Linked DNA regions of Caenorhabditis elegans. The protein of the gene in region 2 interacts with the protein of the main gene of each other region in a pairwise test. Each region holds a gene or a part of one and is shown on either strand. Other genes may lie near its edges.

Region 1 (5,008 bases), on a different chromosome or scaffold from region 2:
CGTAGTACTGCAAAGGATTGACGTACAGATCGTCTTTGATCACTTCAGCAATCTCATCACTGTCTGGTAGTGCTGCGTACGTGAGCCATTCAAGAAACGTGTGAGCTGAATCTCCGTCTTCCGGCTTCTGGAAGAGTTACATTGCGAAAGTTTTAGAAAAAATTCGATTAAAACAATAGGGATTATAAAGATAAACTCACGAATGGCGGTTTCTTGTTCTCCTTCCACTCGATTTCGGTAATTTCGGTGCTCGGTGACTCAGATTGCAGATGATACGACTTTGTAATTACTTCGTTTGTGAAGTACTCATTCGGGTCAAATGTCATAATTATTTTGAATCCACTGCGAAGATCTTCAAATTCTTGCACTTCAAGATCTCGCAGAGCGGCTAACAAGTCCTCTTGTTCTTCCGGAATAGCAGTTGAAAGAAGATGATGATTGAGAAAAGCAGTCTGCCAGAAATTGTCGATTTTTGTTGTCAGCTTCTTTCTTTTTTCATAAATCGGAAGACGTTTCTGATTGAAAATCTGCTCGACTTTCAAAACTTCTTCGGCAGCGTTTTCACTCATCACATCTAGTTGGTGCTGAATGGCGTCTAGTTCGATTAGCTTTTCCTTCACGGGACCAGCTACTTCGGATCGGAGATTTGGGAACTCATCGGCATTTTTCATTCGCTTTGCAGCCGGCTCTTCGCTCATATTTTAACTGAAAAAATTGAAGATTAACGGCAAAGAGAGCTTGTTTAGTAGAACAACAAAAGGCAGGGCGAGTTTGTAAAGCAAGTGTTCAACAGAATAAGCGCAAACGCACTGAAAATGCGCAAATAGTGTTGACTGGCGCATATTTTGAATAGAGCCTAGACACTTTTGATTTAATCAAGTGATTGATCAAGCTTACCCACAATTAACAGTTTTATAAATATCGACAATTTATGACCTAGTCAAGAACGCGAAGCTTAAAATTTAAAAAAATAAATGTATTATTATCGGTTAAACGGTTGGGAAAAAACTAATTAACATGCATGCATATAAAGTCTTTAAAACCGTAATGTTCTCATATTGAGAACAAAGCTAACTTGAATTGCAATATTATTTTGCTTTTTCATGGTACGTACTTAGATAGTTTTCGTGTTGGAACATATAACCTGATTTTCAATAAATTTGAAAATTGAATCGATCAAAAAAATTTACTACATCCTGCAATGAGGATCAAGAAGGAAATTTCGGATAAAAATTTTAAATGAACAAAGAAACGAAAGAAAAATACGTACGGGCAGTATCGGAGCCATTGAGAAGAAAGAAAGATAGAAAAAAAGAATCACAATTATGATCCGTGGCAGGTGCAATTTATTTTGAGATTGGGGAAGGGATTAGTGAGACAGAAGGCAATCGGGAACTCGAGCGGTGAAAATTGGAATACATTCAATGATTCGATGAATTACAATATACATCACAAGATTCGATATTAATTTCGAGAATTTAAAATGGGAATGGGCGCTTTTGACGATTGGGCCAAGTTTCTATGGGACAAGAACACGTCGACTAAAACTTATTATATTCACAAATGCACGCATTATTAGTTAGTATGGGGGACACGAATATTGAAAGTGTTTAAAAATTTGACAAATGTAGAGAAGTTGTTCACCACAAATTGAGATGCTTGGTCATATTTTCGGCCAATTGATCGAATCCTGGCATTGGAGAGAATGGTCCGTTACATGACATCATTGGATCAGTTGCGACAGATTTCATCAGAAGAGATTGAGCAACAGCAGAATTTGCGAAATATGCAGCAGCGGCAGCTGCGGATGCTGCATTGAGTGACGAAGAACTGAGATCCTGAGAAGGCGTGGATCCAGCAGATGAATATCCAGAAACTCCTCCAGGAGTATTTTGCTTTCCGAGCATTCCGAACGAGCCAGCATTTGGAGCGGAACCCAAAACCATCGAATCGAGTGGACTAGCTGGCCGATGTGCCATATTCCAAGCGTCTAGAGCAAACATCGATGGATCCAATGGCCAGCGAGACGGTGGATAGGTCATCGCACCTAAAACAGAGGTCATTAATTGCAACTAGCTGCCAATTTTTACCTTCCGCGTCATGCAATTCCTTCGTTGGTAGCTCATATCTTGGACCACGAGTACTAACAGGAGTTGGTCCTAGTGGCAATTTAGCCGCTGGCTCATCTGGAGTTGATGGCCTGGCAAACATTTCTAAAGGATGCTGAATGGCAGAAAGCGGGGGAGCTGCAATGCGACCATTAGTCATGATGTGCTGCTCCATTTGATCACGAATGTCAGCCAATGCATGGCGTTGAGAAACCTGAAAATGTTTACAGTGAGCAAAAATACATGTTTTCTTCTGACTTCAAGAAGTTTATCAGCGCGAATGTATGCGTTTGGTCCATGATCGGGATGAATGAAAAGGCACCGTTTCCCGTATGGGCAGAGTCCTGTAGTCGTATATTTGTCACAGAGTTTCGTTTTATACTTATTGTTCTGCAGCGGCTCGACGCTAAAAATTGGAATTAACATAATTTGTTTGCTTCATTCTTACAATGTTGGACGAAGTTCCTCCTCTCCATGTGCAAACCGGCAGTTGTCTGCGAAAGAACAAGTCTTAGATTCGAGCCAAGCTTGGCAGATCACAGTCTTGTATGATTCTGGTTTCTGCATTCGGGCTAATCCGCGGCGTCTAGGATCAAACTGTTGAAATGGAGGTGCAACCTGGTTGTTCTGGGGAAAACTCTGAATCGCGCGAACTTGCATCGATTGAATATGTTGGTTGCTGAAATGTAGTAAATTGAAGATATTCAGGAAATTAGCCAACGCACAATGCAATATCTTCAAGCAACTGCTTTTTGATAGCAATCAAGTTAGCAGTTTGAGTAACCAAATCTCCAATCTGGGCATTCGGATTAGTTTGAGACAAGTCCTTAGCGTGATCGAGTGGTGAAACGGGCAAAGTTGGAACGCCAGCGAGGGAGCTCTCGAGATGATGCCTTTAATAACATAAAATTACTTTTTCATTTGAATTTTGTTAAACTCACTCATCGATCTTCTCGTTGTTTTCACCGTTAACGTTCATATTGATGCAGTTGAGTGGATGTGAATAGTGTAAGTAATCGGGTGCAGGGAATGCTTAACAATCAACACCGGAGATACTCGATTTCCGGAAGATGTTGCGAGCTGTAAGTTCTGAAAAAGAAAATCAAATGATCCTACTGAAAAACAAAAACACGTTACATAAAACAATACTTGAGTGCGAACAAAACAGATACGAATGGCATTTATGAGAAAATATCACATTTTGGCGCCGGTGCACAATAAAAAAGTTTAAAAAAAAGTTTTTAATATAAATATGTCAGAATTTCCGGCCGAAAAGTAATATTTGAAACAAGGAATACTCAAGAAAAGCCTGAAAAATGGTTCCTTCATATTACGCGGGGGCATAAACTACGGTCGCACTGTTTTCACGTGTGCGATTTAAAATGATGTGCGTCTTTTAGGAGTACTGTAGGCCAAAAGTTTTCACGCCTATAACTGCTTGTAGTGAACTGATATGTTATTATAATCAAACAATTTATGCACTAATTTAAGTTAAAAAAAAACATATTTATTTTTTACAATCAAAAAATTATAGCGACAAACCCGTGTGAAAAATCAGGAATCTTTAAAAAAAATGAATGGTTGAAAATATCAATTAGAAACTTCAAGTTCATCTTCGATTGAAAAGGTACAACCTTCGAACATCAATATACGTCCAAATATACGAATAGATGAAGAATATTTCAAATGCACCAAATACCAGCAATGCAACTCTGAAATTGATAAAATAGTATACCCTAGGTTTCCTTTTTTTTTCAAAATCCCACCTTAATAAAATAATATCAACAATTTTATAACTCCGATCTTGTCCATTAACCTCTTCTCTAATTTCATCAGGAACTGTGATTGTCGATCCGATTACCGCTCCTGTAATCTCTCTTTTTCCAATTAAAAACTGTCAAATTTGGTCGTCCGGTTCACAATCTCTCAATATTTGCGAAACTGATTAAAACCACACCGAAAAAAAAACTTCGCTCACCAGCATATGCAAAAAACAGAATCGTATTCAAAACCATATATGGTAGTAAAAATTTGGGTCTCGCACGGAAAACTGCCATAATAAACATTAAACTGAAGGTGAGGATCATGGTGATAAGTATGGAGCAGATTACTGAAAAATCCATATTTCTAAATAATTCAGATTAAATTTATTTAACTGTACCAATAAATTCAACATAATTCTTCGGTGTTTTTTGAATCAATCTTATTAATCCATAAACGTAAAATGCAAATAAGAAAATTGCATTGAAACTGATTCCAAATATTGCAACTGAAAACATATTTTTTAATATAAATTTTTCATCGACTCCCTTAACATTCTTGTTACCCTGTTTTTTATAAATAAATAATCCATCGAAAAAAATAGCCTTGTTATTTATTTTGTGATCAGTATTTTTAGGTTTGATAACACTTGTAAAACAAACAAAACAAAAATGTAAACAATTTTATAATGATTCTCATGTTATTTTTGTTTTCAATTTTTCTATTATTAAGAGATAAGCTTTAATGTGTCAAAAATCAAATAAAAAAGAGAGAAATAATGCCTGCCTGCCTTCACCTCGCGCGCCTTCTGTACACGCAAACGTTGTTTCTTTCATTTGTTAATTTAACTTTCATCAAATAAGATGATAAAATAAAGATAATTGTGTAAATTAACACTGTGAGAACAAAATAAGTACATAAGATATGAAAAAGTAGGCAGGCATAGGTAGGCGTGTGGGAACCTAGAAAATAATCCCACTTTCTCTCGAATTAATTAATAAAAACTTCTCAAACTAACTTTTATGAACACCAAAATATCCACAAAGCTTCGTTGGTTTAGGCGCTGTTGGCATTGAAAAATAATTTTGATCCGTTGATAATTTATCAGAAATTGTAGACATTGTGATGAAAGTGTTGGA
Region 2 (6,066 bases):
CGCCTATTTTCGGCATTTTTTGTGAGCAAAAAGAGATCAAATTAGCTTTTTCTCCTGTTTTCTACGATTTTTTTGGGTAGGCACGACTCCATGCCTACCGTACCTACCTACCTACCTCCTATTTTCGGCATTTTTTCTCGTGCAAAAAATCATATTTATGAAAACACTATTATTTTTGTTTTCTGAATTTTTTTTCCAAATTTTGTGATTTCTAGGGTAGGCACCGACTTCATGCCTACGTGCCTACCTACCTACCGCCTATTCTCGGCATTTTTGTGAGCAAAAAATTAACATTCTTGAAAATCCTTTTTTTGTTTTACTACAATTTTTTCAAGTTGCATGATCTCTAGGGTAGGCACGATTTCATGCCTACTTGCCTATCTACCTATTTTTCCCTTTTTTCGTGGTTTAGGTAGGCAGGCATGAGTCAGGCACGAAAATCTAGAAACATAATTTTGATTCTATCGGTAAAATAGGCTTTCAAGACAGTTTGAATTTTTCGAATTTCTACCAGCAAAAAATAATATCTGAAATTTTCGCGGCGAGACCCAAAAACTGACTGAGATTTGGCGAGCGTCGACATAGCGGCTTGCGAAAGACGGAACGGTGTTGTCAGATTGTTGGCGAAAAGCTGAAATTGGTTTTTCGAGGTCAATTTTCCACGTGGAATTCAAATTTCAGCACTCTCGAACCTTATCAAAATCCTCGCCGGATGTCTCAATAATCTCGCCGAGCACCTCATTCTGTGGTGGAACTATAATTAAAGTGTCCAGACCGCCGAGCTTCTCAGCCACTTTCGTGATCAGCTCCTTCCTGTGCTCGGCATTTGCCACGTCTAATGAGAAAGCTGTGACGTCACCTCCAACCTGAATTTATTCCCGAATTTCTCTTTGTCAAGTTCTGAAAATCTGCCTAAACCTTTATATTGTCCTCTGCAACCTTTCCCACACTATTCGGACAGTCTGCGGCGGCGGCGACCTTGTAGCCGGTGAACGCGAGTCTTCTCACGACGGCTTTACCCAGTGTGGACGTTGCCCCGATTACAAGTGCACATGACATTACGCTGAAAGCCCGATGAGGAGGCATATTTATAGATACACCTAGACATCAGGTACATTTATTTGGAAATCCGTAGAAAATAAAGAACATGTGAAAATAAAACAGATCATTTTATTATTTAGAGGGGAGAGGGAGGGGGAGCAAAGTCGCTGACTGAGAACTTTCGAAAACCGGTTAGTTACTCCAGTTGTACGGCTTATTCATGCCATATTTTCCAAGATTTCCACCATTGTGTTGGTATTGAGAATGTTGATTCTGCTGAGCTGCCGGCTTCGATCCAGACATCTTGTCGTAACTCTTGCGCTCGTCATCCTGTCCGTAGAGTTGACGACCTCCAGCGCTGCTTCCAACATTGGGCATCATGTTCATGAATGGAGTAAACTGGTGTGGAGCAGGTGAGTACTGCTGCATGAACAACGACGACAAGTTTGGCTGCTGCATGTAGTTCGTCGCCTGGAACCCTGGTGGTGGTCCAACATTCGACGCCTGCTGTGGCTGCTGATCCCGAGAGCTTTGAGATCCGAACTTATTGAAGTCCATAAGTCCATGAGTCTCTCGTTGTTGACCAGATTGCACTTGTTGCGCAGAAGCAGCCTGTGACAGAGGAGCAGTTGGAAGCAAGCTTGTAAGATCAACTCCCATTCCGTATTGCATAAGAGCAGCAGTATATTGCTCATCTCGAACTCCTGGCATTGGATTGTACATGTTCATGTAGTTGTTCATGTATGGTGCATATGGGAGTTGTTGAGTGAACATCATATGTGGATGCTGTTGTGGATGTCCAGTCGGTTGTGATTGAGCTGGTGGAGTTTGTTGCTGCTGCTGCACTGGCTGTTGTGGGGCTTGTTGCTGCTGCTGCTGTGGCTGGTGCTGCTGAGCAGATTGCTGTGTTGGAAGTGGTCCAGAATTGTTGAACTTGTTCGGCGCCATCCTGTCCGTTGGTTGATATGAAGCGGACGAAGTGTCATAGGACAATCCTCTGTTAGATTGACCATATGACAATGGAGGTGAAGTCGATTTTAAGTTGTAATCGCCGTTAGGAATTGACGTCCTTTCTGGCTGAAAAATAATCGAGAATTAGAATAAATCGTCTTTGCAACAAATTTAACTCACCTCAACTTGTTTCGGCATAATACGAGAAGAGTTAAATATATTTTCACTGGCATTTGAGATCGAGGCAGCGGAGGATTCAGTAGAAGGAAGCTGTGGGCTTGGAGCAGCCTCAACAAATCCAAATGAGTAGTCATGAATGTTCGTTGGTGCAGTTGTGCCAACAAATTCCACTCCAGGATCAGGAATAATCTGGACTGGTGCTGCACTTGGAATTGGAGATAATCCTAGTCCTGGTGCTTCACTCAATCCTATTCCAAGATCCGTCTTCAGTTGAGTGGTCCATGCTTGATTTGGTTCTGGGGTGCTTTGTACATTTTCATCGTGATGAGTCGACACATTAGGCGTCTGCTCCTCAGCCAAAACTGATGATTCACTGAAAATTAAATTTTTAATAATCTAAATACAGGGACAGAACAACTTACTTTTGGAAGAAACCATCTTCTTTCTCCGGCTGATGCGAAGTTTCTGGCTCGAAAAATACTGGCGCTGCTGCTGGCTCTTCTTTAACTGGTGCAACTGACGGAAGTGGAGGTTGTGGGGAGAGACTCCTCCTTGGCGGAGCTGCTGGTTGAGGATTCTGTGCCTGGTGCTTTCGGAGTGCTTCTTTGCGATGGGCAGCTGCTGCTACTGCAGCAAATGAGATCGGTGCCGGCGCAGAAGATGTGGGAACAGTGGCGGTGACGGATTCCTCTACTGGTGGTTGAACTTCGGTGACTGTGGTATCCACTTTAGTCTGATTCTGAAAAAAAAACACGTTTCGTCATTTTCCTTCTTCAAAAAATTCTTACCTCATCAAGATCAGCAGTGAACGCATCTGGCTCAAGTGCTGATGATGGAGCAACAGCTCGAGAATATCCACCTCTGGCGCCACCTCTTCCACCTCGTCCAACATACGGTTTTTCAAATCCTCCTCGAGTCGAGCGTGGTGCTGCTCCTTCCTTATTATCACGGTTATCCCGATTATTATCTCGGCTTTCTCTTGGAGCTCCATTGGATCGCCCGCGGCCTCCTCGATCGACGAAACCGGTGCCTCCACCTGAAAAAAACATATCAATATTTGATCTATTTCAATCAAGCACGAACCTCTGCCTCTTGCTACAAATCCTCTGTTGTTATAACTGCCCTCTTCCGGCTTCTTCTTTTCCTTTTTGGCTCCTTTCTGTTCAGTCCACGAGTCAAGTTTATCTCCAGCATCCAGAATGTGATCGATTGCGCCGTAAAGATTGTTGTCAGTATCCAATAGCGCTATCTCAGCTTGTGCTTGTGTACATCCGGTGGTTTCGATAATCTGAAAATGAAAAAGACATGAGCAGTGAAAAAACCCCTCTTGGGAATGCGCGAACACTTTAATTAGCCCAAATGAGTAGGACATCTGGGTACTCTTACTCTCGCTGCACCATCTCAAGCGCGGACACCTGCTTTTGTCCTTTTATTTGCCATCTGGCCCCGTCTTATCGATTCGAAATTCCTATTGACACTGAAAGCGGACACTAGAGAAGTTCAAAACAACAAAGTCACGTGCGTCATCATGTCGGTGTGTGGCGAGCGTTCGCGTGATGCAAAGATCACTATTTTCAGGAAAGCGTCATTTCCAGCTTGGAGACTTACCGTCTTGATCATAAACTGTATGTCCTCCTCATTTCCGGAATTTCCTTCCAGTGTGAGTCGTGCAAGTCGCGCTTGATCGCTGGTAGCTTTTTTGTCGCCTTTAATACCCATTCTGAAAACAAATTATAAATAAAAAGGGTCAGTCATGTGAACGCAAGAATGGAATGAGAATCACGAGAATACAACTATCAAAGGAAGGTTGAATGAAAGGAAGGTCAAATAGATGACAAAAGTAGGAAAAGAACGAAATATGGAACCTTCCAGATCAAAAAAACATTATCAAAAGAAAAGCCTCGCACAGAAGACTCTAACGAACATGTTAGGATGAAGAAATATTTCAGCAATACATCACGTTGAACTTTGGAGGATATTCTAGAGAAGAAAACCCCTACATTTTACAATAATTTTGAAATGGAATTCGAATGAACTGCTATACAATGGAGAATCCTATTTAGCGATGATAAAGTGTAGGCTTGTTACTAGATTGAATAAAAATTTCGAAATGTAACAATACATTGACTGAAAATTTGGGTATTTCAGAGTGTGATATCACAAAAATCAATATTTCCACTAAACTCAAAAGTTCTTACGCTGAAAAATCATTAAAAAATTGAAAAATCACCGCAAGCTAGACTAGAATCGCGTTCAAATCTCGCAAATTCCCGCAGTTGAAAATGCGGGCGACCGCGACGCGAGCCGCAACGCACCCCTCCAAACATGCGGCATGGGTCTCGCCACGACCGAAAGTACGGTCACTCTTGGCAGTATAAAAGGCGACCATTTTCCGCTATTTTCCGGTAAATTTTCAAATGAAACTGTGTTGCGGAGGGGGTTTTCCGCTAATTTTGCGGAAATTTAGCTATTTAATGTGAAAATGTGAATAAAACAAAAGAAAGTGGGGAGGAATAGCAAGGAAACACACTGTTGAACCCTGGGAATTATCGATTTTGTATGAACTCTTCTTTTATGGCGTCGAAATTATCGACACGAAAACTCAAAACCTTGTCACATTTCTGAGAGAGAAATATCATTTTCAGCACACATGAGTCTTCCCAGATTTCGACTCGTTCAGGGAAAGGCGATCGGCGAGCGATCAACGCCAGGAGTCAGCACACCAGAGCCGGTAATTGTTTTTTTTTATTTCAAAATTTCTACAACAACAAAAAGAACTAACAATAATTTATTCCTTTGATTCCAGGCCCCTCCGCAAATAAAGCAGGAAGTCGACTACCAAGATGCTCATCAAATGGCTCCGGAACCCGTGGAAGCACCCCGTAAATATTTAAAAATTTAAAAAAGTTAGAAAAAAAATTTGAATCCCAATTTTCAGAGGCTCAAAACCATCAAATGCAGCCGCCTCGTCAACCTATACAACAGCAGATGCAGCATTTTCAGTCACCATCGCCAATGGCTCCACAAGGGCCGCCCGGGACTCCACAAAACTCTGCAGCGGCGGCCGCCGCTGCTTCAGATGACAAAAACGTGACAAAATGCGTCCGCTTTCTGAAAACTTTAATTAATCTGTCGAATAACGATGATCCAGAAATGCCGGACAAGGCCGCCCGTGTCAAAGAGCTAATTCGAGTGAGGAATTGAGCGAAAAACGCGATAAAAACCGGACAAATTCGGATATTTCAGGGCGTAATTTATCTGGAAACGACGGCTGAAGAGTTTACACGAAATCTGCAACAAGTGCTCAAATCTCAGGCTCAACCGCATCTTTTACCATTCCTTCAGAATACTCTTCCGGCATTGAGGAATGCTGTTCGAAATGGTTCGGTTTTATGTGCAAAAAAATTAAAATCGACAAAAAAAAAATCATCGAAAAACAGGAAAATTTGAGTTGAAAAGCAGCGAAAAACTTGAATTTAACATAAAAAATTGCAAAAAATCCGTTGAATTACATTTTTCAAGAAATTGTGTAGAAATTCCATGAAAAAAATTCAAAATTTCCAAATTTTTTGGCTATTTCTAGTCAATTTCTTTAAAATTCCATTTTTGATAGCGAAAATTATCAAGTTTCTAACAATTTCAAGCTGTTTTTGGTGATTTTTTCAATTTTTCGGCTTTGAAATTCCATTTTCCGGAGTATATTGTCATAATATATCCGAGTTCCACAAAATTGAGCAAAAAAAATTAAAAATTTCCCTTTATTTAAAAATATTTTCAGCTGTCAGTAATATATGGATTTTCCGCAATTTTTCTCACAATTTTGAGCAAATTCCTGATTTTCAGCCAATTTATAAGGATTTTCACCCATTTTCATAATTTAGGGCTATTTTCAGC

The links. The genes of interacting proteins can lie anywhere in the genome.
Region 1: the proteins of pqn-59 (region 2) and oma-1 interact in a two-hybrid assay, tested with the Caenorhabditis elegans proteins (one study listed by BioGRID).

What each region holds. Positions count from the first base shown.
Region 1 is NC_003282.8:8,887,165-8,892,172, reverse strand, and holds oma-1 (CCCH-type zinc finger protein oma-1), read right to left. Parts: upstream 3,198-5,008; 5' UTR 3,088-3,197; coding exon 3,050-3,087; intron 3,002-3,049; coding exon 2,834-3,001; intron 2,788-2,833; coding exon 2,557-2,787; intron 2,515-2,556; coding exon 2,367-2,514; intron 2,323-2,366; coding exon 2,091-2,322; intron 2,048-2,090; coding exon 1,641-2,047; 3' UTR 1,174-1,640; downstream 1-1,173. Other genes in the region: spr-2 (Suppressor of presenilin-2), read right to left, coding at 1-127, 201-698; C09G9.5 (MARVEL domain-containing protein), read right to left, coding at 3,718-3,820, 3,875-3,974, 4,087-4,218, 4,270-4,377, 4,888-5,008. UniProt on the Caenorhabditis elegans protein: Zinc-finger RNA-binding protein that binds to 5'-UA[AU]-3' motifs in the 3'-UTR of maternal mRNAs to suppress translation in oocytes and embryos.
Region 2 is NC_003279.8:378,011-384,076, forward strand, and holds pqn-59 (Prion-like (glutamine/asparagine-rich) domain bearing protein pqn-59), read right to left. Parts: upstream 3,893-6,066; 5' UTR 3,892-3,892; coding exon 3,781-3,891; intron 3,461-3,780; coding exon 3,256-3,460; intron 3,209-3,255; coding exon 2,961-3,208; intron 2,912-2,960; coding exon 2,595-2,911; intron 2,546-2,594; coding exon 2,173-2,545; intron 2,119-2,172; coding exon 1,234-2,118; 3' UTR 1,061-1,233; downstream 1-1,060. Other genes in the region: R119.3 (DeHydrogenases, Short chain), read right to left, coding at 561-631, 693-866, 919-1,059; taf-4 (Transcription initiation factor TFIID subunit 4), read left to right, coding at 4,823-4,903, 4,979-5,054, 5,111-5,364, 5,419-5,554. UniProt on the Caenorhabditis elegans protein: Antagonises the activities of multiple heterochronic microRNAs such as lin-4 and let-7 miRNAs. Modulates gene expression and cell fate specification during development. Plays a role in, but not strictly required for, the formation of stress granules.